7 linked regions of the Neurospora crassa OR74A genome follow. The main gene of each other region encodes a partner of the protein of the gene in region 6 in a complex. Links are inferred from orthologs where the notes say so. Each region holds a gene or a part of one and is shown on either strand. Other genes may lie near its edges. The genes, in order: NCU04171, NCU06469, NCU07852, NCU06768, NCU02804, NCU04336 and NCU07057.

Region 1 (4,376 bases), on a different chromosome or scaffold from region 6:
CGGCCCCCGCCCCGTCGATCCCGAAGTCCTCGCCTCCCTCTTCGGCGGTCCCTCCGAAGCAGAGCTCATGAAAGCCGCCATGGAAGTGATCACCGACCCTTCCCCCGAGACCACGCGCGAAAACAAGTTGATCGCCTTTGACAACTTCGAGCAGCTGATTGAGAACCTGGACAACGCAAACCTTCTTGAGGAACTGTCTCTCTGGTCCCCCTTGATTTCCTTGCTGGATCACGAGGACGAGGATATGAGGTACCACGCTGCCTGGTGCCTGGGCACGGCGGTGCAAAACAACCAAAAGACGCAGGAACGGCTGTTGGCCATGGGCGGCGTGCCCAAGTTGGTGGACCTGGCGATGAAGGAGGGCGAGTCGGAGAAGGTGAGGCGCAAGGCTACGTATGCGCTTAGCAGTGCGGTGAGGAATTATCAGCCGGCTATGGATGTCGCGGCGGACGAGATGCATAAGCGCGGTCATGAGGTTTTGGTGAACAACGGGACCAAGGTGGATGCGGCGGATATGGATAAAGTGGATGAGGTTATTGACGTTTTGAGAAACAAGGCCAAGTCTGCTTAGAGCTGTCTAAGGGGATGAGTAGGTTGAGGGTTTGGGGTTCATGATGGGGATGACCAAATGAAAGGAAAATGGGACTGAAAAGATATGGTTTTGGTTTTGGCATTGGAAAAGGCGTTTGGTTTTTTTTGTTTGGAGATCCTTGGTTGATCAAGACGAATGGGTTCTGTTGTCATAATATCTTGACCTGTTCTGTGCAAAGCTAGACTGGGATATGGATATGTGGTTCTAGACTTGGGAGTTGTTTATGAAGCAGATACCCTTGACGATGTCCGTTTACACAATCCAGTTCACGCAATGATGACACCCTTCCAATTGTTTTACGCATTTGTGATTCTACTTCTTTGATCTTTGACCGTCAGACCCGGTGGTATTGTTCTTCTTCCGTTTCCTTTCCACTTCGTCTATAAGCCTCCTCCTCGTGATGTTGTTACAAAAGGTATATATACACCCAACATACATCGTCCTTATGTGGTTAGTGTATTCGTATTGTACAAGTTTCACACATCTCCTCATCCTCCTCAATTGTCATCCAACAACTATCATGATGCGAGATGTTGTTCATCATCTTCTCATCCCCCTTCCTTGAATCTCGTCCCTTTCTCAACCTCTCACGATCAACAGCCCGTTTGGCGCTTAGTTGCTGTAGAAAGGAACGCCGAGGGACTGGAGCAGAAGCTTAGCCTGCCTGTCGGAGGTGGCTGTCGTCTTGATGGCGATGTGGCAACCGGGAATCATCTTGGCGGGGTACATCTGGAGAGGATAGAAAGTCAGTAATCTGTCGTCAAGTCCAAGAAAACAAGAAGACGAAGCAGACGGTAGGGCCAAAGCCGGAGCCAGAGCCGGAACCAGAACCCTCCCTACTGTAGCTTCGGCTCCGGCTCCAACTCCAAACTTTTGTTCTCCTCCGTCCTCTCTTTCTCTTCCACCCATCATTTCCCAAGAAACAAACTCACATCATAGTTGCATTCCACCTCGGGAAAAAGCTGAACATCCTCCGGATTCAAACCAAACTGCACATTACCGCTTCCATCACCCGTACTCGCCGGCACGCCCTTCCAATCCTTGATCCGGGGGAGAACCAAATGGATCAACCGATCCATAAACTCCCACGCCGCGTTTCCGTAAATCGTCGTCTTGCAACCAGCCGGTTTGTTCGCCTGCAGCTGCCACTGCACCACGTTGTTCTTGGACCTCGTCATCTCCGGCATCGTCCCCGTCATGGCCAGCAGCACCGCCCGGGCCACAATCAACAAGTCCGGGTTCTTGAGACCGAGCGGCACGAAGGTGGAGACGGTGATTTCCTTGATCTCGGGGATGTTGCGGAACGAAATGTCGCGCTCGCGAATGGGAAGCTCGGGGGCACCGCGGGGCGCGCGGCGGGCACGGTTGGCGAAGTAGGGCGAGTCGCCCTCCCAGGCACGCAAGCGCTCCGTGGGTTCCTTTTTGGGCGTTCCCGGGGGTGTGTGGATGTAGGCCAGGGTCATGAGGTCCGAGGCCATGACGGTGCGGAAGGTTTCCTTGAGACGAGGCATGTTGAAGGGGCCGGGAACGAAGTCGCGGGCGATAGGGTCGGAGGAGGGAGGGGATTGGATGGGGTGGAGGGGGCCGCGGTTGTACTTGGGGGGGTGGTATTGGTATCTGTTCGGTAGGAGGTGAGGCATGGTGGTTAGCAACGTTTAAACATCTTGTTTATGGTTTGCGTATATGTATGTATATATACATGTGTGTGGCTAGCTATGTAAACCACGGGACGGAGGGAGAGTGTATAACGCACCTGCTGCTAGGCAACCTCGCCTTCCTGTCGGCCGCGCGCTTCCATGGCCTGAACTCCTTCTTGTCCTCTTCGCTGGGGATGGGAGCGTCCAATGCCGACCGTGTCTCAAGCTCGGCGAGGTCGGGAATGTTGGATTTGGGAGTAGCGGCAGCAGCGCCGGCACCAGTTTGTGTCGAGGCGCATCTTCGGACGGCGAACTGAGCAGAGAAAGGCTGAAGAGCGCGAGCCGATCGCGAGACCCCGCGGAGACTGGCCATGGTGAATTAGGATACCGAAAAAAGAAACCGGCGTTCGGGCGGACGCTCTGGTTTCGGAATTGGCGACCGTGGAGGTTGTCGCTTCGGAGTGGTGGTTGAGGAAGAGGGTCCGGCGCACGCGGGAAATCGGGGCCGAAGGTCTGTCACGGACGGGCAGAGGGCAGCGAGGTTCCTTCTCCGGCAAGCGCAAGGTCCTGGTCCCGCGTCGAGGCTCGAAGAGGTGCCGGTCCCCGTTGTGCCGCCCGCCGGAATTTTTTTTGGAGCCTCTGCGGAGTCTCGAACCGGGGCCAATGCTTGGCAGCACGGGCCAAAGCTGGATGAGTTTGGGGTTAGGGATATGAGTCTGTTACCCCTGAAAGCGTTCCTGGACCCCTGAGAATGCATCTGATGTGGTTGATGAACTCTAAATAAAGCATGGATTTGGAAATATATCACTATGTTTGTACCAATATAAGCGATTCAGATCAGGATTCCAACACATTAAGACGACATGTATGATTAGATTAGGAGACACTTGTATATGCGTACGCTTCCTTTGCTCGAAGTATCCTCCGAGCCACTAATAATTACATCATTCCGCGCACACCTTATCAGCATGTCTAGCAATAACAACAAAGTATGTAACGGGGAAGAAAGAGAAAACAGAAAAAACATCCAAGTATCATCATCACCGTCCAAGACTACGTCCCCATCGCCTCTCAATATTCTTCCGCCCAGAGCCGCTTCTTCTCACTTGTCCCACACCCCCATCACCATCCCATTTCAACTCATAATCAGACTCCCCATCTTTGCCCAAATTGGGTAACTTCACCTTCACCATCCCCTCGTTTCTCCTTTCTATACTCCTCCTAGCAGGAGAAGTAGTCCCAGCCGGCTGAATACTGTAAAGCAACAACCTTGAGCCAGCACCGCAGAACTCCGTCTTATCACCGACGCAGAACGACCTCTTGCACTCATACAGCTCTGACGCCGCCACCGCCGTGTCCGCGAGCGAATTGCCGCAGTAACACTCCTTGCCGAACTCCACGCCAAAGAGACTGTAGCCCCTCGACTGACAGCGTTCGTGGCACATCTCGACCGTCATGCTCGTGCTGTTGGTGTACGAGTGAGCTTTGAGAATACGAGCCGTTGAGTTGTCGATGAAGCAACCCTGTGGCGTCGCCAAGCGCCCGTTAACCACGGACGGGTTGACGAGCCGGGGCGTCACGTAGTTAGTTTGTCTGAAGACGTCCAGACGAGCGCGGCCACCGCAGCGTGTTGATGGGTCACCGGCGCAGGTGAGATTACAGCCAGTCTGGCCGAGGCTGTAGCCGGGCTTGAACTCGAGACCACAGTAGCATTGGGATTGGAACTCGAGGCCGGCGAGGGGGTAGTTTTGCTGGGCGCAGTAGTTAAGACATTTTTGAATGGTCATGCCGGCGCTGTCGTATAGGTAGGTGCCATTGAGCGCGCGAGCAGTAGGCGCGGCGGTGTTGGAGTCACTGGCACATCCTTGGTAGTCCCAGTTCACAACAGCAGGAATTGTAGGCGAGGCTGAGGCGATGTTCGTGGTGGAAGTAGTGGCAGCAGTGGCGATGGTCGTGGTGGCTTGAGTAGGGGCTGTAGTAGCAACGGCGGCGGCGGTTGTAGTAGTTGTACTAGTTGTAAACAAGACTGGGGTGGTGTTCGTAGTAGAACTAGTAGCGGTAGTGGTGGTAGTGGTGACTGGAGCAGGATCTGTACTCGTGACAGCCGCAGCGGTTGTAGTACTTGTGCCAGCGGCAGGAGGGACTGA
Region 2 (4,154 bases), on a different chromosome or scaffold from region 6:
AGCAGCAGGTACCCTCCCCACCAGCACCAACGCCACCAATGCCGCCGGCGGACCTTCCTCTAGCAACCAACAGCATAGCAATTTGAGCAAACGCGGCGGAGGCGTCAACACTGCCGCCCCTCGTCTCGACAAGAAACAAGTTGAGCAACGTATCGAGGAGGATCGTGAGCGGCATAAGAGGCTGAGGGAGAACATCTGGGCGGTGCCGAGCGGAGACGAGCTGGATAGATTGCTGGAGGAGACGTCAGAGTTGGGGGATGACGACATGAGGGCGATATGGGAAGAGCAGGAGGAGTGGGAGAGGAGTTTGCAGGCGGGGATTGGAGGGATTGGAGGGAGTGGTGGTGCGGGGTGTGGGCATACTACCTCTACCAGTAACGGGGGTGAGAGGGATGATGGTATGAATGGGAATAACATGAAGGAAAAGCCAATGTCGATTAGTGGGGAGATTGCCGAGATGGCGAGGAGGAAGCAGCTGCAGCAGCTGGAAAAGGAGCAACAGGAGAAGCAAGATAAAGATGTGGAGATGACTTCGGGTTAGGAAACCGACGGAGGAGAAGAGAACCTGGGAATTCAAGACCAGTAGGAATGACACGGGTGGTGGATACAAGAGGCGCGCTGGTAGGAGTGCGATAGAAAGAAGAAAATTGAAGGAGGCAAGGAGAAGGAGGTTGAGAATAAGAAACAAGGAAGTTACCGATACATGGGGTATGCATGGGATGGCGTTTATGTTTTTGGCTGTTTAGTTATCTTCGGTATCCATAAGCGAAAGTGGGGAGATACTATTAACTCAGAAGCGGCATCTGCTCACGGTAATATCGTCGACAGACTCTCATGTTTTCGCTGACAACCCGTTCTTCTATCCATCCCAGTTCTCGTAGTATGATATAATGTTACATGTTTCATTGCTTTTTGTACACGTACAAGTGGTATATGTTGTTGTGAGGAATCTGTGTCCGCCACTCCCCCCCTTTCCCCATGAGGATATAATGTAGATGAGACCGAGAATCCCCCTTTATGTGTTTCCCAAGGCCCTGGCATTTCTTCCAACTCTGTCCCGTCATGATCATCATTATAGGAAAAAAAAAAGAAAATATCTTTCCGGCATCTGTGTCAGGAAAAGATCTCCTCGTTTGGTTCTTTTTCTGCGGGGGAGGGACGTGACCATCCTACAAAACAACAACACACATACACACACACACACACGGCGCCTCCACCCACCACACCACCACACAGAGACCATAACCATAGCAACCAACCCTTTTACTAGGCAGAAGCAGCAGTTTAGTCCATGGTGACGGTGGCGCCGAGCTCCTTCATGGCGGCGACAATCTTCTCGGCATCCTCCTTTGGTACCGACTCCTTCATGACCTTGGGCGCGCTCTCGACGAACTTCTTGGACTCTACTAGGGAGAGGCCGAGCAGGTTCTTGACCTCCTTGATGACCTTGGGCTTGGCGGCGGCGTCGAACTTCTCGAGCTTGAGCGTGAACAGCGTCTTCTCGGCAGCGGCAGGGGCGGCCTCCTCCTCCTCAGCGGGAGCGGCGGCGGGGGCAGCGGCGGGGGCGGCAGCGGCGAAACCACCGACGGGGAGATCGGGGATGTTGAGGCGGGACTGTTTTGTGTAAAAGAAGAGAGAGAGAGAGAGAGTGAGTGTTAGTGTTGGTGCCCATGTACATGTGTGCGACTTGAGAGTCTAGGTAGTATAAGATAGGTCTGTCTGTCTGTCTGTCTGTCCGGGGCCGGGCCGGGTCGGGTCGGGTCGGGTCCGGGGCGCAAAAACATCCGGAAACCTTGAAACATGCTCCGATTCGGGTTTTGTGTGTCCCGGTTCCCGGCCCCGGTTGTTCTTCTTCTCGTGCTTTATTTAAATCGGGCGTACCTTGAGGCTGGACACAAGCTCCGAGGTCTCGAGGAGAGTCAGGGTGCTGATCTGGTCAACAATGGCGGCGATCTTGGGGTTGGCGGCAGGGGCGGCGGTGGACTCGAAGCGCTTCTGGACGAGGAGGGAGCTCGAGGCCCGGGTGGATGCGCGGAGCTGGCGGGCGGCGCATTGCGCGGCGAAGCGAACCGAGAGAGACATTGTTGGTATGTGTGTGTGTTGGTGGTGGTGGGTTGTGTGGATGGATGGATGGAGAGAGGGGAGTCGGACTCGGACCGGAGGAAGGAAAGAGAGAGGGCGCGCGGGGGCGGTCGGATTGGGGTTCTCTTTTTTTGGTGAGGGAGGCTTGCCGTCGACGTCGACTTCGAGGATCGTACAACCGAACCGTACAACAACTAAACGGAGATATTTTTTTGGGGACGTTGTCGCGCGCTCCCGGGTGCTGCGAAATCTGGGACCCACTACTGGCAGTTGGCAGCTTGGTGGTTTGGGCGTGCAAGTTGGATCTATGACGGCTGGCTGACCCGGAGCTGCAGCTGGAGGGGAAAACCCAAGCTGCCTGCCCCGCGCGAGTCTGGGGATTAGGTACCTCTGTACCTTGAAGTCCACTGAAGACGCGCTAAAGGATGGGCCCCTGTCATCCCAAGCGCGCCCCTGCTGCCGCTGGGCTGTTCGTCCCACCCGGAACTAGGTTCCACTTTTGAAGAAGATGGCTCCCTTGCCTGCCGCAGCCGACTTACACTACACTATGTAGAGTACTATGCAGTACACCCCAGCACATGCGCCTAGCGCTAAGTAGCATGTACCCCGCACTATCGTTCAGCGCGATAAGGAATTTCATGTGGGAAAAAGTTCCAAACGGGAGAAAGCGAAGTTCAATGGGCAAAAAAGTTAGAGATAAAAAAAAAAAAGAGACTAAGAAAAACATCACCGTTTTTCACAACGACGACGACGACGACGACGACGACATCCACGCCAACCCGTCCCGTCGCTTTTCCCTGGCCATGATGGCCGTGATCGATGTGAGCCAGCAGAGGGCGTCGCTCCTTAGCGATGCGACCACCTTGGACCTCTTGCCGCCAGAGTTGCTGCTCATAATCCAGGATCACCAATCGACCAAATTCCTCGATGCGATCGCCAGCGCCGCTCTTGTCTCGACAGCCACCGACCGCATCTTTACCCATTTCGAGTCTGTTTTTGCCGATATTTGCGCCAGATGGATTCTGTCTTCTCCAAAACTCGATACGCGAGTCCTTGCCGCTTTCGCAAGGATCTTGCCCTTCGCCCCGTCGCTGTCCGTCTTCCTCGTGTCGCATCTTCGAGGAGGATCTTTTGGTGGTGTTAATGGTGGTAACCACAACGACAAAAGCAACGACAATGATGCTTCTTCAAAACTTAAACCTCTCGATTCCCTTGACCTAGCTTCGATCCGCCCAGATGACCTCCCAATTGTCCTCCTAGCCCTCTGGAGGCTCAACAACTTTGACAAGCGCACCTACGCCGGCCTGTCAAAGCCATCCCAAATACAGACCCTGTTCGCACACGAGAACCCCATCGTCCGATATCTTGCCGTCCGAATCTTCTGCCAGCTTCATAATGCCGCCGATGTCAAGATCGAAGCCCTCCTCGAAAAGCACATACCCAAAGATACCAGCCTTGTCGCAGAGCTCGACGGGCGCGAAGCCGACTATGCGTTCCTCAGCCTACACGAGGATTCTAGACGTGAAGACATTCAGAGCTCTCGCAGTAAATCCCAACAAACTAGTGCGGTTGACGATGCGGTTGTCGAATTGAATATCACAAACATCCCAGAACAGAACCTCACTCCTCTAGTTGTCAAATATGGAAAGACAGTCCTCCCGCGTCCCCTCGGCCCTGTGACTGCTCCCACCACCCTCGCACTTACCCCGACGACTGTTGAGAACCTCGAGAACCTCACCGGGTGCCTGCAACGACCCGGGCCTATCCTCCTCCACGGCCTGTCCGGTTCCGGCAAGACCTCCCTAGTCCACGAGATTGCGCGCGAGTTAGGCAAGCAGAAGCAACTAGTGACACTACACCTGAACGAGCAAACCGACGCCAAGATGCTGCTTGGGCTATACACCACCGACTCGAAACCCGGTTCCTTCTCGTGGCGCCCAGGTGTGTTGACCACTGCCGTCAAGGAGGGAAGATGGGTCTTGATTGAGGATCTCGATCGCGCGCCAACAGAAGTCATGAGCACATTGCTGCCTCTCATTGAGCGAGGAGAGCTGCTAATTCCTGGACGCGGC
Region 3 (4,216 bases), on a different chromosome or scaffold from region 6:
GGTCATTGACGGCCAGCCCCACCCCCACAGCTTCCTGCGCGACGGCCAGGAGACTCGCAACGTCGAGGCCACTGTCACTCGGGACGGCATCACCATCAAGAGCGGCATCGTCGGCCTCCAGGTGCTCAAGAGCACTGGATCCGCCTTTCACGGCTTCGTCCGTGACGAGTTCACCACTCTCAAGGAGACGTGGGACCGCATTCTCTCCACCGACGTGGATGCCGGATGGACTTGGAAGAAGTGTGCCAACCTGGCGGCCGTTCAGGACGGTGTTGAACGCTTCGACGCTGCGTGGGAGGCTGCCCGCAACATCACGCTCAAGACATTTGCGGAAGACGAGTCGGCGTCGGTACAGAACACTATGTACAAGATGTGCGAGCAGATCTTGGATGCGGTACCCGAGACGGAGAAGACCAACTATTCGCTACCCAACAAGCACTACTTTGAAGTTGGTGAGTACCCCTTTCGCAAATCCACCAAAAAAAAAAAAAATAGGTCCAGATAAATTTACACTAACACCCAAAAAAAAAAAACAGATCTCAGTTGGCACAAGGGCCTCCAGAACACCGGCAAGGACGCCGAGGTGTACGCTCCCCAGTCTGGTCCCAACGGTCTCATCAAATGCGAGGTCTCTCGCTCGTAAGACTGTTGAACTTTGTTTTTAAAACGTCACACATGTTTCTTTGGCTTTCTTTTATGATATCACCATTTTTTTTTCTTCTTTTTTTTTGCATTCCCCCTCACGTTCCGAGGGGTTGGTTGGCGGGCAGGCGTACGTTTTGAAGGTGGAAAGATGATGATACCTTGATGCAACGGATCATCATGAGACGGAGGCTATGGACATCTTGACTGGCGCTAATTTTCAGGGGTAATCAAATAAACTTCCTATTATGAACAAGCAAGCATCCGAAAAGCACTGCTAGCTGCACTCTCGAATTACCAAGTGAAAAAATATGCCGTGAAATCGGTGAGGCTGACTTTTTGCCTTCGCGGGCCTTCAGCGTGTTGGACATGAGGATCTGCTCATCGCTTATCAGATCAAACAATCAATGAGTCTAAACAGCTCTCATGAGTCGTAATCATGGTATCTTGTTGAGTGATATATTTGTACAATGAGAGGCCCCCTTTTTCTAACCCAAGTTCGTACACTGTCCGTTGCGCGCTGGGCTCATGAACCGGCTTCCCATGTAATATACAGACTGACACTGGCGGCATTGCCCGTGAATCACACGGCCAAGTGGGCTGTAACAGACACAAGAACACACGAGAGAGATTTCTCGCCCCAACGAGGTGGTTGTCCACACAATCTTCCTCACAGTTGACAGAGTTCTCAGTCTTCGTCGGCTAGATGGTTCGTAACGGCTCGATGTAGATTCGTCCCTACATCTCTTTCTCTCCCGTTTCTCTGACACTCTTCCATGAGTAGATAGCCAGCTCCAGCGCCTTCAACCAGACCTTCACACCTCAAAGCCATGGTCGCTCATAACCTCTCCATGTCCGCCTCCCGGATAGCCTTGACAGCCTCCTCCCAACCTGGAGCGCCCACCACCTTACCGCCAAATCGCACCAAGTTCTCCTTGTACGGGTGCGCATCACCCTCAAACGCCTTGAGCCTCGCCAGTCTCTTGTCGCGCAGCCTGTTCTTGGGAAGCATGCCGCTGACGGCCTTGCGCAGCACCTCGGCGCCGCCGTGCTTCTCCATCAGCGCATCCATGGTGATGGCCTGTAGCGAACCGGGCCGGGTGTTGTGGCGGTAGTACGTCTTGCGCCACTTCTTGTGGCCCGTCGTGTACAAACCCGCGCAGTTGGTCACCACGACGTAGTCGCCGCAGTCGGTGGAGGGATCCCAGATCGGCTTGTGCTTGCCCATCAGGATGGTGGCAATGCGCGAGGCGAGGCGACCGAGAGAAGGGGGAGTGATGGCCTCGGAAGGAGCCTTGATGGTCGAGAGGGTGGGGTGAGGGGTGACGGCGGAGATGTGGTGCCAGACACGGGAGTAGGCTAGTCGGGTCTACACGTTCGTCGCAAGACGGCGGTGGTTAGTGACGGGTGGTGGAGGTGGTGGTGGTGGTGGCGGGAGGGCGAGCAAGTGCCAAAATTGTAAGAAACACGACGAAATTATGGGACAGTTGTGTCCGAACAGGAAGAAACTTACAGCTCCGACTGTTTGCGACATGTTGACGGTGTTGCGCGGTGGTGATGTAGGTCGTATACTATGGTGTTCAAGAGAGGATTAAGGTGGAGAAGGCAGGTATGAAAACCAGTGGGAACGAGTCCCTCATCGACTGGTGGTAAGTGAACCTCTATGTGTTATCGTCCGGGTCAATTGAATGACACGGGATCGGGCGGGCTCCGGAGTGTTCGAGACGGCGGGTTCGGCAGGCGCGAGAAAGTCCGGGGCTTGTCGCGGCGAACGGGTATCAAATGTGGTCCGGTATCACGGGAAGCAGAATGGAGCTCCTGCAGAAGGGCAGCAGCAGAGCCTGCCAAGCCCAAAAGCTGCAATCACTTTTCTTGCCGGAAAATTTCCACGTACGATTGGGGCACGACGGCCCGCTGGCGGTTGGCGGGGTGGCTACGGTGGTCCGCAAGTCTTAGTGTGTAATTGAGGAAAGCACTAACAAACACCAACTCGGCGCACTTAGAGCTCTCTTTTACTGATGTCCCATGTACCAAAGCCTGCACTTCCTTTCCCGGTACATATCACACGCTTTCGGGGAGCAGGATTGCCCTGGCTTGGGCCGATCGAGGAGCCGGACACAGCGGAGCCCCAGTTGGTCGCCCGCAAAAAGTGGTCCCAGAAAGGTGCCGTCGCTTTGAAATCAACATTTTGGCAGGCCGACATCTACCTTCCTGCCGTCTTACAGTGAAGATGGGAAAACGACATTTCGCACTCCAGTGAGGTGACTTCATGCACTCTCTTGTCGAGAAACAATGAGGAATCTCAGCACAAGAGTCGCATTTACCCCGTCTCTTAAGCATCCGTAGACTGGAGCCAAAACGTTATTAATTGTACCTAGTCGTCCCCTCCTTCGCCGAACGTGGGGCTCTCCTCCATCGCCTTCTATACAAATCCATCGTCTCACGTTGGTGTTGCTTCTCACACCACCACTTCTATACTGTCCTCAGTATTGTCTTTGCTACCTCTTAGTGCCTGAAACCGATGCCACCGTACACGGCCAGACAAATCCTAAGTATTTCTAGTCTAGCTTTAGCAGGTTTTGGAGGCGCATACCTTTGGCAACAACGCCAACAACATAGGAACTATTTTCAGTCACAGTCATCCCCGGCTGCTCCCAAATCATCAATCCCGAAGATAGCCGGCAACATGGCTTCCATCACAACCCCCTTCAAGGTTTGTTTATACCCTTTTACAGCCTCATTTTCATATATGCCTACATATGAGCTTCGGTCCAAGCCCTTCCTTTTCTTTAGATAAAGGGTCCAAGCCTGTCTCACATATCTGACTCACCTTGACATACTTCCAGAGGCACATCATACTAACTCATTTCACAGACTCTCTTCGCCGTGCCCATGCACTGCGAAAGCTGCGTGAACGACGTCTCCGGTGCACTCTACAAGCTCCCCGGAATCAACAAAGTGGAGGCCAACCTGAAGGACCAGCTGCTCACGATAGAAGGCACGGCCGCGCCTTCCGCCATCGTCAACGCCATCCAGTCCACGGGCCGTGACGCCATCCTGCGCGGTTCCGGCGACTCTCAAGGCGCGGCCGTCAGCATCCTCGAGACTTACCACAAGCCCACCCTAGACAAGATCACGCCCGCCCCGGGAGCCTCGGACCGCATGGTCCGCGGCCTGGCGCGCATGGTGCAGGTGAACAACTCGACCACGCTCGTCGACCTCACGCTGCGCGGCATCGCGCCGGGTACTTACCGCGCTACGATCCGCGAGTTCGGCGATCTTGCGCGGGGTGTCGAGTCGGCCGGCCCGGTGTGGTCCGGCACTGCTACGCTGACGGCCGACACCAAGGCGCAGATCTCTGGAGACCCTAACGCCCCGCGCGGCGTATTGGGAACGGTGGAGATCAACAAGGACGGACGCGGGAGCGTGTTCCTCAGCCACCCGTTCCAGATCTGGGAGGTGATTGGGCACGCGTTCGCTGTTGCGCCGGTGTCGGTGGATGAGAGCGCGGGAAGTACGTTGGAGAACGACGAGAATACGGTGGTGGGCGTGATTGCGAGGAGCGCGGGCGTGT
Region 4 (3,874 bases), on a different chromosome or scaffold from region 6:
TGCTTCGCCGACAGATCTACTTGTTGTGTTTGCGCCACCTCCTTGAGGAGGTCCTGGACCACTACTCGGTCGTAGTTTCCGACATCGGACGGGGTGATTTCGAGGTGGTACACTGATGCGACAATGTTGAACTCGAGCTTGCGGTTGCTGCTGGTTTGGAAAACACGGGCGTCGATCTTGATCTTCTCTACACCTGGGCCGTACAACTCCTTGAGGGTAGCAACAATTCGCGTCTTCTTTCCTGCGCCGGAAGGACCGTAGACGAGGAGGTGGGGAAAGTCACCGCTTTGCGCCTAGGAGTGTCATCAGCGGGGAGCTTCTTTTGCACGAGGGGAACAAGAGGGTCTACTTACAAGTGACCGTAACCTCTCCGACAATTCGGTATGATAGGTGAGGGCATCGAGAGACCTCGGCCTGTGCTTGTCAACAATAAGCGCCATCGTGGTGTGGTGATATTGTGGAGAGGAAAATGGGTTGACAACGGAAGGGGAAAGAAATGCTGGATTGGAGGTGCATGGGAGACGCGTCGAGTTGACGCGCCGTCCAGAAAATCAATTAACAGATGACGGGGGATGGCCGCACGGACCATATCACCCGCTTATACAGGCCCTGGGGTAGACAGTTGCCCACTTTCGCCATCAGTATTCTAGGCAGCTATCTTGAATCTCTTTGAGTTTTGCAACGTCCGATGCTGGATATTGGATCTTCCATGAACCGACATCTAGTATAGGGCCCATTTCATGGCATGGTTGAAAGGGTATATCTAGGAAGCCAGCATTGCTTGTTGACTCGATGTGGTGCTCTGGCCCATCCAGGTAAACTGGTAGTAGCTTACGGACACATTCTCAGAGCATTGAAATCAAAGTGGTGATGCTTGTTACGTCGTCATAATAATCATGAAATGGCCATGGCAACACTCTTTTGCACATTGGCCCTTCTGTTGTTCTACATAGTGTTACAATTAGAATAGGCTCAGGGTTCTCCACCTCTACGAAGGAGGAGCAGCAGTGCTTGATGTGCTCGCAGCACTCTGGGTAATCTCTGGCATCAACAACTTCTTCCTTGGGTTCTTGAGGTCCTCCACCGTGAGGCCATCCTCCAACTTGGTGATGCCAACCACTGGTGGGTCACCCTTCTTCACAAACTCGTACAGACCTATGACTTGTCAGTTTTCTACTCTTCTCAACCTCGCAAAGATTTTGGGCCAGCATGTGCTGTTATTACCTGGAAGCTTGTGTCCGGCCAAACGGAAGGCATCACGGATGACCTGTTCGTGCAATTGCCCCCTGATCTCGAAGATAATCTGGTTGACGGCAACTCTGGTCGCCCAGTGGTCGAACGAACCCTTACCCTTACCCATACGCATCTACACCGGAAATGCATGTGAGCCTCATGTCCGCTAACAGTCGGCATCCGGCCTTCCCGGGCTGTGGGTTGTTCAGCTGCTCACCTCGTTACCGCTGACGTACACACCGACGTTACAAGCAACGCGCTTGTACAGGCGGTACTTCTGACCACGCAACCTCTGCTTGATGGTGTCCTCGGCGAGCTTGAGCTGTTGGGCGCTAATTCTGCGGTGGTGATCGCGCATGCGCAGGCCGTAATCTCCCCAAACCACTGTTGTTCCTTTGGTCGAACCACCCGTCGGCACTCTGGGCCTTCCCTTCATCATCTTCTTCTTTCTGTTGAGGTTGGGCTCGAGCCACGAACCAGCCTGGATGGCGGTCGCAGAGAATAGGCGGACATGGGAGGCGACGGAAACGGGGGTCGGCGCAATGGGGCGACGGACGGCAGAGGTTGCGAGCGACGCGGCACGGAAGGGAGTCGCCGACGAGGATATCCTAAGGCCCTGGAAGGCGCTGAGGAGCGCCGAGGAAGCGTTGTGCTTCATTGTGTTGAAGGTTTGGGTGTGGACCGGACCGGGGAGGGGACGAGTGGTGGACGGAGGACGGAGGGAGGGTCCAATTGGATGCCGGTCGCCGACGACGATTGATACGGATTCCCCGAAGCAGCGCGCGCACAGAGACGGGGACCGGGCAGAGCGACTACCTGCAATGGAAGGTGCTGCGGGCGCGGACGGGGCACGGACGGCACTTCCAAAAATTGTGACCCACCAAAAAGTGTCGGGTGCCGGCCGCGACATGGAATCTGCCGGACACAGCAGACAAGCGGGACCTGGGACTCATTCATTGACTCCTCACAAGAAATACAGCTGCGTGGGCGTAGCTCAAGGCAGCAAGTTGGCGAATTCTTGTAGGACAAGGCCCCACCAGTCGCGACAGGGGAGCAGAGCCCGGACACAGACTCGCGTCATCCACTTCACCTTCGCGTCTCACTCATCATTCAATTGTTACTTCCGTCTTTACAAGGGACAAGAGTCGACCCGTTAGCTCTTTACCCTTCTAGGCCTTTTGTTCAACAACACTTGTTAGGCAGAAGGACAGCTGCCTGGACAACTCAGACACCAAGAACAAAAGTCCCTACTTCCCAACTCCGCCACTATAAGAAGATGCTTGCTGGTGTCATCTGATTGTTACATCTTCCCAACCTTTTGACACATTCAATTTATCATTTTGTATCCAGTGATTTCTTCTCACATACTCCATCATGCCTGCCGACATTCGCTCGTTTTTTGGTCCAAAAGGTGGCGCGCCGCCTGCTAAGCCGGCAACACCAGCACCCAAGAAGGAAGAGGAGAAGAAGACCCGGGGTAGTAAGCTTGAACCATGATCGCCATCACAAGCTTATCACGTTATATTAACAATCTTGTCGCAGGGCCAAGAAAGGTTGTTGAGGACAGCGAAGATGACGAGGTTGTTGAGTAAGCTTAGTGAAAAGCATCTCTTCTCAGAACTAGCATCTAACCAGCATGTGTAGAGTCAAAAAGCCAACCAAGGCTGCGCCAAAGAAGAAAGTAGCGTAAGTGTTTATGAAACACCTCTCAGTTCCATGTCATCCTATTCCTGCTGACAGACTATCTAGGGAACCCGTAAAAGGAGTTGAAACCGATGCTGCCAAGTACTTTGCAACCTCAAAAACAAAAACTGCTGCTGCGTCCCAGTCAACACCGAAAAAGACACCCGCAAAACCCGAGCCAGAAGAACCAAAAGTAGCGCTTCGAACAAGCCCGCGGAAGAAAGCCACCCCCGCTGCCAAAGCACCAGAGCCTCCCAAGACTACTACAAAGAAGACCTCGACTACGAAGAAACCCACGACGGCCTACAAGAGTTACGACAAGGATGACGATGGCGATGCCTACATGGATGATGAGCACGATGCTGGAGAGGACATATTTGCGGCGGAATTCAAGGGTGGCAGCAAGAGGAAAAAGGACGACGACTATGCCGAGGAGGACAGTGACGAGGAGCTCCTCCCCAAGCCCAAGCGAATGGCATCTCGCGCCAAAACAGCAGCCGTAGCCGAGTCTGACGACGAAGACGTCAAGCCTGGACCCAGCAAGCCGAACAAGAAATCTACAACTACTACGGCAGGGAAGCGGAAATCCTCGGTTGTTATAAGTGACGAGGAAGACGAAGAGGAAGAAGAAGTCAAGCCAGCGAAGAAGAAGGGAGCCCCCGCTAAGCCCCGTGCGCCAAGGGCAAAGAAGGATGCGGCGGTTGAAGAACCCGAGGACGTCAAGAAGATCCTCGACAATATTCCCACAATTGAAGCACCAGATGCTCCTCCCAAAGACCCCAACGTCAAGTTTGACTGGAAGACCAAGGCCGCCGGAGCTGGCAATGCGGGTCCACCCCCCATGGCGGGCACTGCCGACATTCCTGAAGGTGAAATTGATTGTCTGGCGGGTAAGACCTTTGTGTTCACCGGCCTGCTCAAGACTATCGCGCGTGAGGAAGCCCAAGCACTCGTCAAG
Region 5 (3,652 bases), on a different chromosome or scaffold from region 6:
ATACGAACTCGACGCGCTGCTCGACCGTGTCGACGGCTTCGCCTGCGTTACCAATGGTGACGATGGCTGGACGACGTAGGTATTTCTTGGCGATGCGCTCCACGATCGGAGGCATGGTAGCTGTGTACATCATAGTCTGTCTGTATCGATCTTTGCCGTCCACGTACCGGCTCATCAGTTGTGGATTCTCCGCATCGTCTGTATCTGGCTTTTCGTTGGTTACCGGCATGGCATCCAAGATCTTGGTAAGCGGCTCCTCGAAACCTTGGTCAATCATACGATCGGCTTCATCCATGATTGTGTAGCAGCACTGAGAGAAGACGAGCAAACGTCTTTCAAGGCAGTCCACGAGACGACCAGGTGTGGCGACAATAATCTCGGCACCGTTCCGTAGAGCAAACGCCTGCTCTTCGAGCGAGTGACCACCCACAATACTGACGACTGTAAATCCGAGAGGTGTAGCAAACTTCTTGGCCTCGCTCTCAATCTGTTGCACCAGTTCTCTTGTTGGCGCCAGAATCAGGGCATATGGACCGTCGTTCTTGTTGTACTCGGTCAGGGGTGGTAGTTCGGAGATGTAAACCAGCAGAGGCAGCAAGAAAGCTGCAGTTTTACCGGAACCCGTCACGGCCACACCGATCAAGTCGCGTGCTTGAAGGGCAATGGGAATGGCAGCTCTCTGAATCGGCGTCGGCTCGTCGTAACCCACGTTCTTGACAATGTCGAGCAGACGCCTAGGCAGCGTGGACTCTTCCCAACTGCGCATAGGGTTGGGAATGGCACCGCCCTTGGTGGCAATGCCAAAGTTTTCCTTGAAGATACGCCAATCGCGCTCCTTCATGTCCTCCAGCTTCTTCTCGGACCAGTGCTTGCCCAGGTTCTTGCGCTGTTCCATCTCCTTGATCCGTCTGTGTTGTTCCAGGTATTGCCTGGCGCGCTCCTCGCCCGTCTCGGGATCGCCACGACGGATGGCTTCGGCCTTCCGCATCACCATCTCTTCCGTCATCTCGTAACCACCAAGTCGGACCAGAGGCTCTTGACGCTCTGCGTAGATGGGGTCGAAGGGTCGGCTAGTGTCGTCATCGGCATCCCAGTCAAAGTTGAACTTGTTCGCTGCCGTCCTCCTCCTCTTCTTCTTGGCCGAGAATGTGGACTGATTTACTACTGGACCCATGTAGCGGGCGCGCAGCTCTGCCTCGTCGTTCCTCTCCATCTTGGCTCGCTTCTCTTCGTCATCGTTGGGTGCGCCGCGTTTTGCGCCCCGTTGGTTTCTGTCTCGGTTATCTCTGTTGTCGCGATTGTCTCTGTAGTCCCGACCGTTGCTCATGCCGTTGGGTCCCCGGTCATCGTCGTACCGCATCGCCTTGGGTCCGGTTGGGATGTTTCGTTGAGGGTTGTGGTTGTGATGACTCTGGATACCGTCCATGCGGTTGCCGTTATGATTTGTTCCATTTGGTTGAGGCTTGGCTTCTTCCTTGCGCTTGCGTTCCTCTTCTTCCTTTGCCTTTTTCTCGGCTTCTAGCCTCTCTCGTTCCTTTTTGGGGATGAATCTTGGTTTCGCGGCGGCGGCTTCTTCCTCCTTCTTCTTGCGCAGCAGTGCTGCCAGGTCTGGGGGTTCCCGTCTTGATGTCGTGCTCATCGTGGTAGTGTATGGAGTTGGTGATGAATCGAAGGAAGAGACTGGTCGGAGGCGACAGTGTTGACAATAAACGTGTTGATTTCCAAGCAGTGCTGGGTTCCGGAATGGGGTTGTTGTTATGGCGAACTTGGGTGGTTCTGGGGTGCAGCAGCGGTGCAGCACAGTTCTCGACCCGCCCAAAAGTTATGTCACGGTTCAAGGTCGGTGATCCCTGTCGTGCCTGTTCAAGGGTCTCCACATGCCCCGCCTTACGCGGGGGGTTAAAGAGGTCGGGTTAGGGCTCAAAGTGTAACTTCCGGCTGTCGCTATGTACCGTTTCGCGACCTGGAACTTTTTCGCAGTTGGGGTCCCGTCGGCGGCCGATTGATCGCAAAGTTCCCCGTTCCGGTTCGTTCGAGCAATCCGGACCCTGTCACCTACGACAAAAACAAACAAACAAACAACCCCCCCCCCCACCTCGACCGACACAGTACCGCCAGCAGGCCGGTCGATCGACATCTTCACCATGGCGGCCACGGTGAAGCAGCACGTCCAGCTGGCGCTTTCGCTCCCACCGCGGTTGCGCACCTTCTTGGCCCGGTACCCGCCGGCCTCGATCCTGCCCGCCGGCGCCGACCCCGAGACGCACAAGACGCCCTACCAGGAGGAGAGCCCGAACCCGTTCATGCCCACCAAGCACCCAATCACCGGAAAGTGGCACAACCCCAAGTACTCGCTCAGGCGACAGGCCGAGCTCGTCAAGCTGGCCCAGGAACACGGCGTCGAGGAGCTGCTGCCCTTCACCCGCAAGCTCAACGAGGAGAAGCTACGGAAGAGAGTCGAGCTCGGTCTCCGTGTCAAGGGTACCGGTGTTGGAGAGAAGGTCAAGGGTCACAAGCACGAAAGGACACTGGTTGCCAAGTACGTTGTCGATCCTCGGCTGCTGCTGCTGCTGCTGCTGCTGGTTGGGAGGAAGTGGTGGTTTGCTGACGGTGGATTTCGCACACAGGATGGAGAAGAGGAGAGAGGCCATGCTGGCTATGCCCGACCTTATCCGGGAATGGAAAAAGGTAAGGATTGCGCCCAAACTCTTGCGGTTTGCACTCTTGTTAACCATGGGCTTCGCTACAGGTCGGCAAGAGGAACTGGACCAAGTTCCCCAAATAAGCGATCGGTTGTTGTCGCTTGTCGGGAAGATTACAACGAGAGTCACTGCCATGTCCATAGACTGTATCATCACCAACAATGTACAACAAATTTCAAGCCATTTGGAAGGGGATTGCCATCAATGTGGTTCTGTTTCCCGGTTGTTGACTGAACGTCCTCTGGCGTCTTATAAGACGGAGTTCCCCACTGTGGTTGGAGGCCGAGACGAGGTAATGTGTCTAACGGTGCAGTAAAATTTCCCCCCCGAATTTGTTTCTCTGAACAACTCACTTCACGATACCAGGCACACAACTAAGACTCAAACCACCACGTGAGAACCGACACATCACACATCCTCTTTTTTTTGCCTATTCACATTTCCTACTGTATACAGCAACATAACAAGGGCAGCGAGCGCAAAGAGACACGTGATTGCGGGATACAAACTTTTCTCTCGAAAGCTGCTCGACGCAAACCACCAACCTTTCACCACTTACACGTCGATACATTTCAACACCAAACCGGTCTCACAACCATACCATTTTATACCCGGGGCCGCACTACCAAACACCACATTGAACACCAAACCGCAAAACCACCAACACATCCAAGATGTCCCAACCAACCTTCTACGAAATCCTCTCCCTCTCACCCACCACCTCCGACCTCACCCCCGCCTCGATCAAACAAGCCTACCGCCGCGCCCTCCTCACCCACCACCCCGACAAGTCTTCCTCTAACTTCTCCTCCTCTACCTCCAACAGCCACTCCAACAGCCACCCCAAAGGACATCACCCCCCAAAAACACGCTACACAATCGACCAAATCTCCCTCGCATACACCACCCTCTCCTCCCCCACTCTACGGACCCAATACGACGCCGCCCTT
Region 6 (3,686 bases):
GACGGATCCGCAGTCACAGACTCCCGTCCTCACAAGGTGAACGGTCTCGAAGCCAAACAGTTTGAACGTGGCGGCGGGCACCCTGTCTGGGCGTCAGTGTTCCCAAAACCGCAATAGGAGTCCCGTCTTGGATCTTGGTCTTTGTCATACACTACACAAGTACACATTGGAACCGGGAGCGGTCGGCAACCTGGGGTCAGGTCCCTGATCCTGTCCATCGATGTCCTCTTCCATCTTGTCCGACTTCCTTTTCCAGCTTTGAAAGATGCCGAGCGATTGCAGCGCCTCCCCCTCTAAAACGCCAATGACCAGCTGCATTGACGCAGTCGTAATTCCTGCCAGGACATCCATTCCATCACATCTCTGTTTCCGCCGCCCCGTGTTGTTCCTCAAACACTGGGCAGTTCACCCAATGACTCGAGTGAACACCTCAGCCGGTTGTGCCTTGCGTCCTTGGCTGTCATCCTCGTTGCCCTGCGTTTCAACTGAACAACAGAGAGTCAAGTATGAATCCCGCAGCAGCCCCGACCACCGTCAAAGCGGCCTTTTAGAGCGCCGCCGTGTCCGAAAGACCGAGGCACCGCAAAGGCATGGATGACAAGTCTAGGTGGTGTTGGTGGTCAGCTTTGTCTCCAGTGACTGTCCTGATGTCACCCAACCTTTTTTTTCGATGGACTGCCAACGGATATGGTAAACAGCTTTCTATGTCGATCTCTACCGCCGAAAACCAGGTCCTTATCGCTCGGTTCGGTGTAACCCATGTCGATACCCCGCCATGCTGCGGGAGGTAATTGCCCGAATGGTTCTAGAAGCCATTGAATGTAATTGCAATCGTTGCACACGTGTAGGATATTAAACAATCATCCATTTCATCTCGTTAGTATTGAAAGCATGAGATGAACACCATGGCGACATGATACCGGGGCTTCGCCTGAGTGGTAAGAAGTGGGCTGGTGGATAAGCACTTGGGCGAAGCGGATGTTTGTTTACAAAACCCCTTTTTATATATGTGTGTGATTTGTCTTGCAGTCAGCTTAGCCAAAAGCATTATAAACACATCTCACCTACATTCAGGTAAGCATAATACCCGTTGGGCGGTCTACCTTGGTGACCGCCAACCTTAAAACTTAATCCTACAGAGACAGATCCTCGTCATACGCCTGCGTGTTCCACAAACACAAGCTATGTGAGCCAAGGTTGACGAAGCTGGAGTACGTTGAGGCAATGCAAACGCAAACCGGCAAATGCCCATATATGCCATGCCTGCCATCAGCACCCTTTTGTGGAAGCCTTTCCCAAACGATCATACTCCGTGGACCAACCAACAGCTCCAGGCACCGCTGTGCATTTTGAGATTTTGCCATACAATAATGATACAAGCAAAGATACACAGAGCCACAAGCTATGGCTATAGTCCGCATCCAATATTGGTAACAATGCCGTGGTCTATCCACCTAAAAGAAACAACCGTAACGCCTTCGTGCCCCCAAGCCCGTATAATGTCTTTCAGCGTATAGCCTCTTTCAGGGGATAACGTTGATACCGATCGACCTGGCCTGGTAGATGACCGCCCTGCAGAGGCCCTCGAGGGGCAGGCCGGATAGACGGAGCTCGGACTGCTTGATCTTGGCAATCTCGTAGACATGTTTGAGGCTGACGGTGCCGACAACCTCCTTGCCGGGGTTGCTGGCGCCCTTTCTCTTGCCGCCCTTGCCTATCGGGGCCTCGGCGGCGTTGAGCAGAAGCCATGATGTGTGAGGGGTGCGGACATCGAAGTGGAACGAGCGGTCGGGCCTGACGGTAACACGGACGGGCATAGGGGTACCGGTGTTGATATGGGCGGTTCTGGCGTTGAACTCCTATACAGATTTGAGCGCATGTCAGCTTGTGTTGTGGATATTATATGGGTGGGCGCATGCAAACCGACCTTGCAAAAGTCCATGGACTTGATGCCCTTGGAACCAAGGGCCGGACCGACCGGGGGACTCGGGCTGGCCTGACCGGCGCCGACAATGAGCTTCACCACCTGCTCAACACCACCAGCACCACCTTTTGCGGCCTTGGACATTCTGGCGACTCTACTGCAGATACCCTCGAGGGAAATTAAGTTGGGAGGAGAACGGAACGGTAATTCGGCGCGTCTGCAGTCGCGTGTTACACTTTCGAGGTCGGTCGGGTATCCTCGTTCGCGACGGCGGCAGCAACGGCGGCGGCGACGCCGCGCGCGGCACCTCAAGCTGGGCCCAAAAAAAAATCAGGGCGCCGGGCCGGCAACCGTTGCAGCCAGGGTCACGTCAGCCACTTCTTCAAAGCCTCAGCCACACACTATTTAGTGTAAAGTGCCGCAATCAGTCCCTTATCGCCGCTTTTCAGTGCCGTTAGTGGCTTACAGTAGTACTAGTACAGCATCGACGCCGAGCCCGCCCGTCAACTGAAAGTCCCGGCCTCGCTCGTCCCCAATTGCTCTCCTACCCGTACTACGCCCCCACTTTTTTGGACCTCGTAGAACTCGCACCCCCTAAAGTGGGTGCTCACGGGTACTACGGCCACACCAGTAAAACGGCCAGGTCAGGGTTAGAGGTGCAGTTTTGAGGCTCGATTCGTAGGGTAAAGCACAACTTCCCAACATATAGAAATTTCTGAAAAATGAAAAGCTGAACGGATACATTACTCTGTCCTGACTATCTTCTAACTCTTTCTTTATTCTCAATTAGTTGTTGAAATACGTTGTGGGCGTTCACTATTTTGGTATCGTTTATCTGATTCGCACCTCTAACCCTGGTGGCCGTTTTAGTGGTGTGGCCGTGTTATTCGTAAGCACCCACTTAGGTGGGTGCGAATTTGCGAGTCCCAAAAAAGTGGGGGCGTAGTACGGGTACCGGGCGTGACTTGGATTGATCATTCCCGTCATTGCCTGCCGCCTGCCCTGCCGCAAAGGTGCGTTCGAGCTGCTGCAAGTCTGCAAGGGAACACAGCATTGCGAAACCTGAACGCTCCAAGTGATTGCAGACCCGCTGTAGGAACCTGAAAGGGTCCAATCGATCGTCAAGTCCTCAGGTGATGTGGAGAGTTGGGCGGAACAGTGACGTGCACCTTCAAGAGCCAGTGAGTCTTCTTTGCTGCTCGACTGCCACGCATCGAGGGCCACGGCTAGAGGCAGTCGGCCGCGGGGAAGCCCAAAGGTACGTACTTGTAGGAGATTTGGGACAGACTGGGTTGCCCCTTCTGTTTTCCATTGGCTTTTATCTGAGCGCGGCGCCATCTCAGCTCTGCCCCATCTTTCTCGACGGCGGTGAATGACTTTAATCTTGAACATCAAACTACCTGGAAAATTCTCACAACTAGACTCATTTTCGCCTCGTTGTCTTGACTTTTTGCTTCTGTAATCTATACTCTTCCCATTTCGCCCTATACCCCCCCCCCCCAGTCTTTCATCATGTTCAAGTGGGCGCAAGCGGCGTGAGTACTCCAAGCACCACCCCCACCATCCGCTGGACGCAGACCTCTAACGACTCGCTTGTAGGTTGGCCAATGTCGCCGGCACCAAGGAGCCTATCTACGGCCCCGAGGCTATCAGGTCTGTCGCCGAGGAGGCCAAGACAACTCCCTATACCGAAACCACCAAGGATGACCTGAAGTGGCAGGCCATGGAGTCCACTTGCGTCGAGACGCAGTGCTTCTACTTC
Region 7 (3,982 bases), on a different chromosome or scaffold from region 6:
CTCGAGCGTCTCGGAGGTCTTTTCGTAGGCGGCGGAGCGGAGGAGCTTGTCTTGTTGCCTCTTTGCGAGGGGGATGTCGAGCTTCTTGGATTGCCCAGGCTTGGCGGCCTTTTCCTCCTTGTTCATGAGCTTGAGAGACTTCTTCATGTGGGGGTCCTGGACGCCAAGGAGGCCGAGATCTGAGAGACTGAGTTTGTTTGTTGGTTTCGAGCCTGATTGCTCCTCGTCGTCGTTGTCGTCGCCCGCAAACCCGGAGATCATCTTTTGGAGGTCGTCGAGCTTGGAAGGGTCTTCCATATCGTCGTCACTGTCTTCGCTTTCGCTCGATTCGCTGTCCGCGTCGTCTTCCGATCCTGACTCCTCTTCGCCCTCCTCCTCCTCGCTGCTTTCATACTGATCCAGTGCTGTGGCGAGATCGATGGCGTCGGAACCGAGCGACTCCAAGTCATCGTCCTCATCTTCGTCCTCTTCCTCCTCATCACTGTCGTTTCCACCCTTCTTCGCCTTCTTGCCCTTCTTGTTGGAGCTGCTCCCGCTGAAGGCATAGCCATCGAACTTTTCCTCGTCGCTCTCACCAAAGGCCTCATCAGAGTCGAGTTCGGAATCTTCGTCATCAGCGCCTACACCAACGTGCCACTCCTCGCCATCGCTGTCCTCGCCACCGTCGGAGAAGCCTTCGAAATCGTCGCTGTTTTTGGCCTTCTTCTTTTGTGGCCTGGCGTCCTCGAGATCTTCCTCATCCTCGTCTCCGTCCTCATCGTCTTCGTCGTCGCCATCTCGTTGTCTCTTCTGGGGGCGCTCTTCGGGCTCGTCGAGGTCTCGTGTGCGGACGCCCTTGGCTTTCTTTTGGGGGACTTGTTCGGCGGCAATAGCGAAGGCGTCGAGGACGTTGTTTCTGGATTTCCTATCGGCAGTCTTGTTGTTGACTCTGTGCTTGGGACGCCCTCCGCCGCCCGACTTGGGCATTAGAGGCCTGCCGTGGGCTTGACGGCCGGGCATTTTGCTGGTATTTGAGAATTGACTGATTGGAAGTCGGAAGGTAATTCAGTCAATTAAGTTCGAGGTCGAGCAAGCAAAAATTGGGTGATGAGATTGTCGACGAAGTCCAGTGGTTGGATGGAATGAATCGATGGATGTCAATGTCCAACTTTTGCCTGCACGGGTCCTGGAGGTCGAAGTGGTCAGGTCCCTTCAACGGCAACTCCCACCAAGCCTTCAACTTTCTGCCAGTGAACAAGCTCCCCCGAAACTTTTTCTGCCGCCTCTGTAATCGATAATTTTCGGGCGGTGAGGGCGCAACACCCACCCATTTTGCGGGGCCGCAGCAGGCTACAGGGGTACCTGTTTCTCCCAGCCTCACGTCATTGGCTCAATTGAGCTCCAAACTTCTGAAATGGCTCCACCTCAACCCGGCGCGGCCCCGGACGTCTTTGCGATTTCTCGATTCCAACCCCGTCGCCCGTCGCCCGTTGCCCGTCGCCGTCCGTGTTGTCCAGCGCCAGTCCGAGTCCGAGTCCGAGTCCCGTCTCCGTTCCTGTCGCGTGCGCCGGATCTTCAACACTCTAAAGCGGATCCCGTCTCCGTCCCACTTGCGCCCACCTCAACCACCCTCACCACAGCGAGGTGCTTCCACCACCCAGATCACCGACCACAAAAAGCAATTCTCCGTCGTCGTTGCCCCGCAAAGCGCAATCCTCCTAGCCCACCATGCAGCCCACTCGCATCCTCCAAGGTCTCAAGTACCGCAAGTTGCGCCTGACCACCAAGGACGTCAACAAGGGTTTCTACAAGGGTAACCGCACCGGTTCCATGGGTACGCACACCAGCTACGGTACCTACAAGATCGACTACACCAAGGTCCGCACCTATGTGTGCCCGGACCTGACCGGTTTCAAGGTGGGTGGTCCTCTATTTCCGTCCGGGTTTGGGGTTGGAATGGGATGTGTTGGGGGATCTGGTGCTAGGGGAGGGACCGAGAATGGAGGACAAAAGAGAATAAAAAAGAATTATGCTAACAAGATCCAACAACAACAAAGCTCACCCCCTTCGTCTCCAAGACCATCCGCCCCGTCCACGACCAGTTCCCCGGCGACAAGCTCGGCCCCAAGAACCCCGCCACTTACCTTGCTCGCTGGAAGTCGGAGAACGGTCTCGACTAAACGGTCGTCATTTTTTCAAGGAGGGAGGAGGAGGACATTACGATACCAGACCACGGCGAGGAAATGGAGCGAGGCTCACTCAACTATCAAACTACCAAACGCAATATATACCCAAGTTCTGATTACATTCCGAAAGCCTGCCGACACAGACCCGTTCGAAGGACCACGAGCCACTCTCCACTGTACATTATATGACCTGACCACCAGGAATCAACCACCTAGCAGCTCCACTGTTCTGGGTCATATGTGAAATTGGAACATGTCCAGGTTCTCTGCCTTTGGAGTCGCCACGCTGCTACCTAGGCTGATGGTCTCGACATTCCTACCATTGAGATACAGCCTGATAGCTAACCATACGTATTCAAAGAACACTCGCCTTCAGAGCTGCCTACGATACATCTCCCCTTTCGGATTGGTTCTTTGAATTTTGATGTCACGATGATCTCGCCGTCACATTTCTTTTCTTCTAGAAGAGACAAGGCCGATTTATATGACTATACCCAAAGGTGTCCAATGGTCCCTGTCCGAGATTCAAGGGGGTCTTGTTTCAGTTGTTAGATTATTGAGGGAGCGAGATCGGGGATTTTAATAGGGTTAGGGCTTAGGTCACTCTTGTTGATTGTTGCCTAACCTCTATTTGCCCTTTGCCTGGTCGCCTTTGAGAAGGTGCGTTGTGTGCCTAGCAATGAGGGGTATTTCTACCTAGAGGTAGTTTCGCGGGTTTCTTCCTTTCCTTACCTTCAGTTACTTTATTCTAAGCAACCACCGCCTCCCAGAAGAACCTTTCTCTGGCATGAAGCAATTCACCTTCGGCTCAAGTTTCACGACATACAAAGGGATCACCGAATTCAAACGAGCGAATCCCGTCGAGAAAGTTCGCCCCAACTCGCCAGTGCGCCCCATCAATCCCATTTGTTTTGCATGAACTTGTCTATGGTCTTTCTTTCCCTTGAATCTCCTGGCCACCCAGCTCTTCCTGAAGCTGCAAGCCTCTCCTCATTCACTTGATACCTTGACATGTCATCTGCCCATCCCACAACAGACCTAATCATAATCAACCAACACCATGAAACCATCTGCCCACTTCAACCATGGACCGATCGACAATGCCTTGGCAGAGGAACCCGTCATGAAGTCTCGCTACCCCCCCAGGCAGCTTAACAAGCTCTGTGATGGTTGCCAAGCAGTGTTCCCTACGACTGGGCCGTGGTTCTGGGACCTGGAAGACGCCGTGCTTGCCGACGAAGATGATTGGCACCTGCGGGATTTCAGCATTTGTGACCTTCACGAGTCGGCAGGGGCGGGCTGTCACTTGTGCAGGGTCTTTCTGGACTCCCTACTTCCACCCGATATGATCGTGGGAAACCGTCAAGGATACGTTGAGTGGTACGAGGCTAACCAAAAAATCCGACTCCGTTGCTCACTAGACAAGGACTGGAAGAATGTAGACTTGCCCATGAAGTTGACGATTCTCAGTAACTATCAGGAGCAATCCACCTTGGGTGAAAGGTTCGCGACTTCCTCTGTTCAGACACTACGATTCCAGTCTGTCCGCCCAGCCTTGTCGGGACAGTGCACCAACGGACCAGCCTGGATAGCGGATATAAGGGACTTCCTGGGAAGCTCATCGGGGTATGGCCCTCTCACGATATCCCAACCGACATCAACCACTACCTTCGGCTCGTCCTCAATCGAGCAAGTTCGGAAGTGGTCGACGCAATGTCTTGAGGATCATGGAAATTGCATACTTACCTTCAGTAGTGGCAATGAAAAGCACCGCTATCAGAGCAAGATTCGTTTCGTTGACGTTGGAACCGATGAAC

What was found.
Region 1: NCU04336 (region 6) and NCU04171 share a complex: the UniProt entries of both Schizosaccharomyces pombe proteins name them as parts of the mitochondrial large ribosomal subunit. The link is inferred for Neurospora crassa OR74A from reciprocal best matches to the Schizosaccharomyces pombe genes mrpl19 and mrpl7.
Region 2: NCU04336 (region 6) and NCU06469 share a complex: the UniProt entries of both Schizosaccharomyces pombe proteins name them as parts of the mitochondrial large ribosomal subunit. The link is inferred for Neurospora crassa OR74A from reciprocal best matches to the Schizosaccharomyces pombe genes mrpl19 and mrpl12.
Region 3: NCU04336 (region 6) and NCU07852 share a complex: the UniProt entries of both Schizosaccharomyces pombe proteins name them as parts of the mitochondrial large ribosomal subunit. The link is inferred for Neurospora crassa OR74A from reciprocal best matches to the Schizosaccharomyces pombe genes mrpl19 and mrpl23.
Region 4: NCU04336 (region 6) and NCU06768 share a complex: the UniProt entries of both Schizosaccharomyces pombe proteins name them as parts of the mitochondrial large ribosomal subunit. The link is inferred for Neurospora crassa OR74A from reciprocal best matches to the Schizosaccharomyces pombe genes mrpl19 and mrpl16.
Region 5: NCU04336 (region 6) and NCU02804 share a complex: the UniProt entries of both Schizosaccharomyces pombe proteins name them as parts of the mitochondrial large ribosomal subunit. The link is inferred for Neurospora crassa OR74A from reciprocal best matches to the Schizosaccharomyces pombe genes mrpl19 and mrpl25.
Region 7: NCU04336 (region 6) and NCU07057 share a complex: the UniProt entries of both Schizosaccharomyces pombe proteins name them as parts of the mitochondrial large ribosomal subunit. The link is inferred for Neurospora crassa OR74A from reciprocal best matches to the Schizosaccharomyces pombe genes mrpl19 and mrpl27.

The regions. Positions count from the first base shown.
Region 1 is NC_026505.1:5,079,125-5,083,500, reverse strand, and holds NCU04171 (mitochondrial 54S ribosomal protein YmL7/YmL5), read right to left. Parts: upstream 2,878-4,376; 5' UTR 2,603-2,877; coding exon 2,346-2,602; intron 2,210-2,345; coding exon 1,525-2,209; intron 1,322-1,524; coding exon 1,205-1,321; 3' UTR 873-1,204; downstream 1-872. Other genes in the region: NCU04172 (hsp70-like protein), read left to right, coding at 1-571; NCU04170 (hypothetical protein), read right to left, coding at 3,270-4,376. UniProt on the Schizosaccharomyces pombe protein: Component of the mitochondrial ribosome (mitoribosome), a dedicated translation machinery responsible for the synthesis of mitochondrial genome-encoded proteins, including at least some of the essential transmembrane subunits of the mitochondrial respiratory chain.
Region 2 is NC_026503.1:1,524,290-1,528,443, reverse strand, and holds NCU06469 (putative mitochondrial 54S ribosomal protein MNP1), read right to left. Parts: upstream 2,301-4,154; 5' UTR 2,083-2,300; coding exon 1,882-2,082; intron 1,615-1,881; coding exon 1,285-1,614; 3' UTR 751-1,284; downstream 1-750. Other genes in the region: NCU06470 (hypothetical protein), read left to right, coding at 1-541; NCU06468 (midasin), read left to right, coding at 2,886-4,154. UniProt on the Schizosaccharomyces pombe protein: Component of the mitochondrial ribosome (mitoribosome), a dedicated translation machinery responsible for the synthesis of mitochondrial genome-encoded proteins, including at least some of the essential transmembrane subunits of the mitochondrial respiratory chain.
Region 3 is NC_026503.1:1,107,469-1,111,684, reverse strand, and holds NCU07852 (mitochondrial 54S ribosomal protein YmL23), read right to left. Parts: upstream 2,505-4,216; 5' UTR 2,177-2,504; coding exon 2,156-2,176; intron 2,012-2,155; coding exon 1,481-2,011; 3' UTR 866-1,480; downstream 1-865. Other genes in the region: NCU07853 (uricase), read left to right, coding at 1-452, 537-643; NCU07851 (superoxide dismutase 1 copper chaperone), read left to right, coding at 3,164-3,355, 3,517-4,216. UniProt on the Schizosaccharomyces pombe protein: Component of the mitochondrial ribosome (mitoribosome), a dedicated translation machinery responsible for the synthesis of mitochondrial genome-encoded proteins, including at least some of the essential transmembrane subunits of the mitochondrial respiratory chain.
Region 4 is NC_026502.1:2,003,074-2,006,947, forward strand, and holds NCU06768 (mitochondrial 54S ribosomal protein YmL47), read right to left. Parts: upstream 2,128-3,874; 5' UTR 1,892-2,127; coding exon 1,451-1,891; intron 1,367-1,450; coding exon 1,225-1,366; intron 1,156-1,224; coding exon 989-1,155; 3' UTR 854-988; downstream 1-853. Other genes in the region: NCU06769 (activator 1 38 kDa subunit), read right to left, coding at 1-293, 354-440; NCU06767 (replication factor C subunit 1), read left to right, coding at 2,608-2,713, 2,776-2,821, 2,878-2,919, 2,983-3,874. UniProt on the Schizosaccharomyces pombe protein: Component of the mitochondrial ribosome (mitoribosome), a dedicated translation machinery responsible for the synthesis of mitochondrial genome-encoded proteins, including at least some of the essential transmembrane subunits of the mitochondrial respiratory chain.
Region 5 is NC_026501.1:9,064,283-9,067,934, reverse strand, and holds NCU02804 (mitochondrial 60S ribosomal protein L25), read left to right. Parts: upstream 1-1,952; 5' UTR 1,953-2,144; coding exon 2,145-2,539; intron 2,540-2,627; coding exon 2,628-2,688; intron 2,689-2,749; coding exon 2,750-2,785; 3' UTR 2,786-2,958; downstream 2,959-3,652. Other genes in the region: NCU02803 (pre-mRNA-splicing ATP-dependent RNA helicase prp-28), read right to left, coding at 1-1,639; NCU02805 (diphthamide biosynthesis protein 4), read left to right, coding at 3,377-3,652. UniProt on the Schizosaccharomyces pombe protein: Component of the mitochondrial ribosome (mitoribosome), a dedicated translation machinery responsible for the synthesis of mitochondrial genome-encoded proteins, including at least some of the essential transmembrane subunits of the mitochondrial respiratory chain.
Region 6 is NC_026504.1:3,733,244-3,736,929, reverse strand, and holds NCU04336 (mitochondrial 54S ribosomal protein YmL19), read right to left. Parts: upstream 2,238-3,686; 5' UTR 2,069-2,237; coding exon 1,928-2,068; intron 1,860-1,927; coding exon 1,524-1,859; 3' UTR 989-1,523; downstream 1-988. Other genes in the region: NCU04337 (survival factor 1), read left to right, coding at 3,437-3,459, 3,524-3,686. UniProt on the Schizosaccharomyces pombe protein: Component of the mitochondrial ribosome (mitoribosome), a dedicated translation machinery responsible for the synthesis of mitochondrial genome-encoded proteins, including at least some of the essential transmembrane subunits of the mitochondrial respiratory chain.
Region 7 is NC_026506.1:333,677-337,658, forward strand, and holds NCU07057 (hypothetical protein), read left to right. Parts: upstream 1-1,426; 5' UTR 1,427-1,707; coding exon 1,708-1,896; intron 1,897-2,036; coding exon 2,037-2,159; 3' UTR 2,160-2,932; downstream 2,933-3,982. Other genes in the region: NCU07058 (small nucleolar ribonucleoprotein complex subunit Utp14), read right to left, coding at 1-999; NCU17062 (hypothetical protein), read left to right, coding at 3,226-3,982. UniProt on the Schizosaccharomyces pombe protein: Component of the mitochondrial ribosome (mitoribosome), a dedicated translation machinery responsible for the synthesis of mitochondrial genome-encoded proteins, including at least some of the essential transmembrane subunits of the mitochondrial respiratory chain.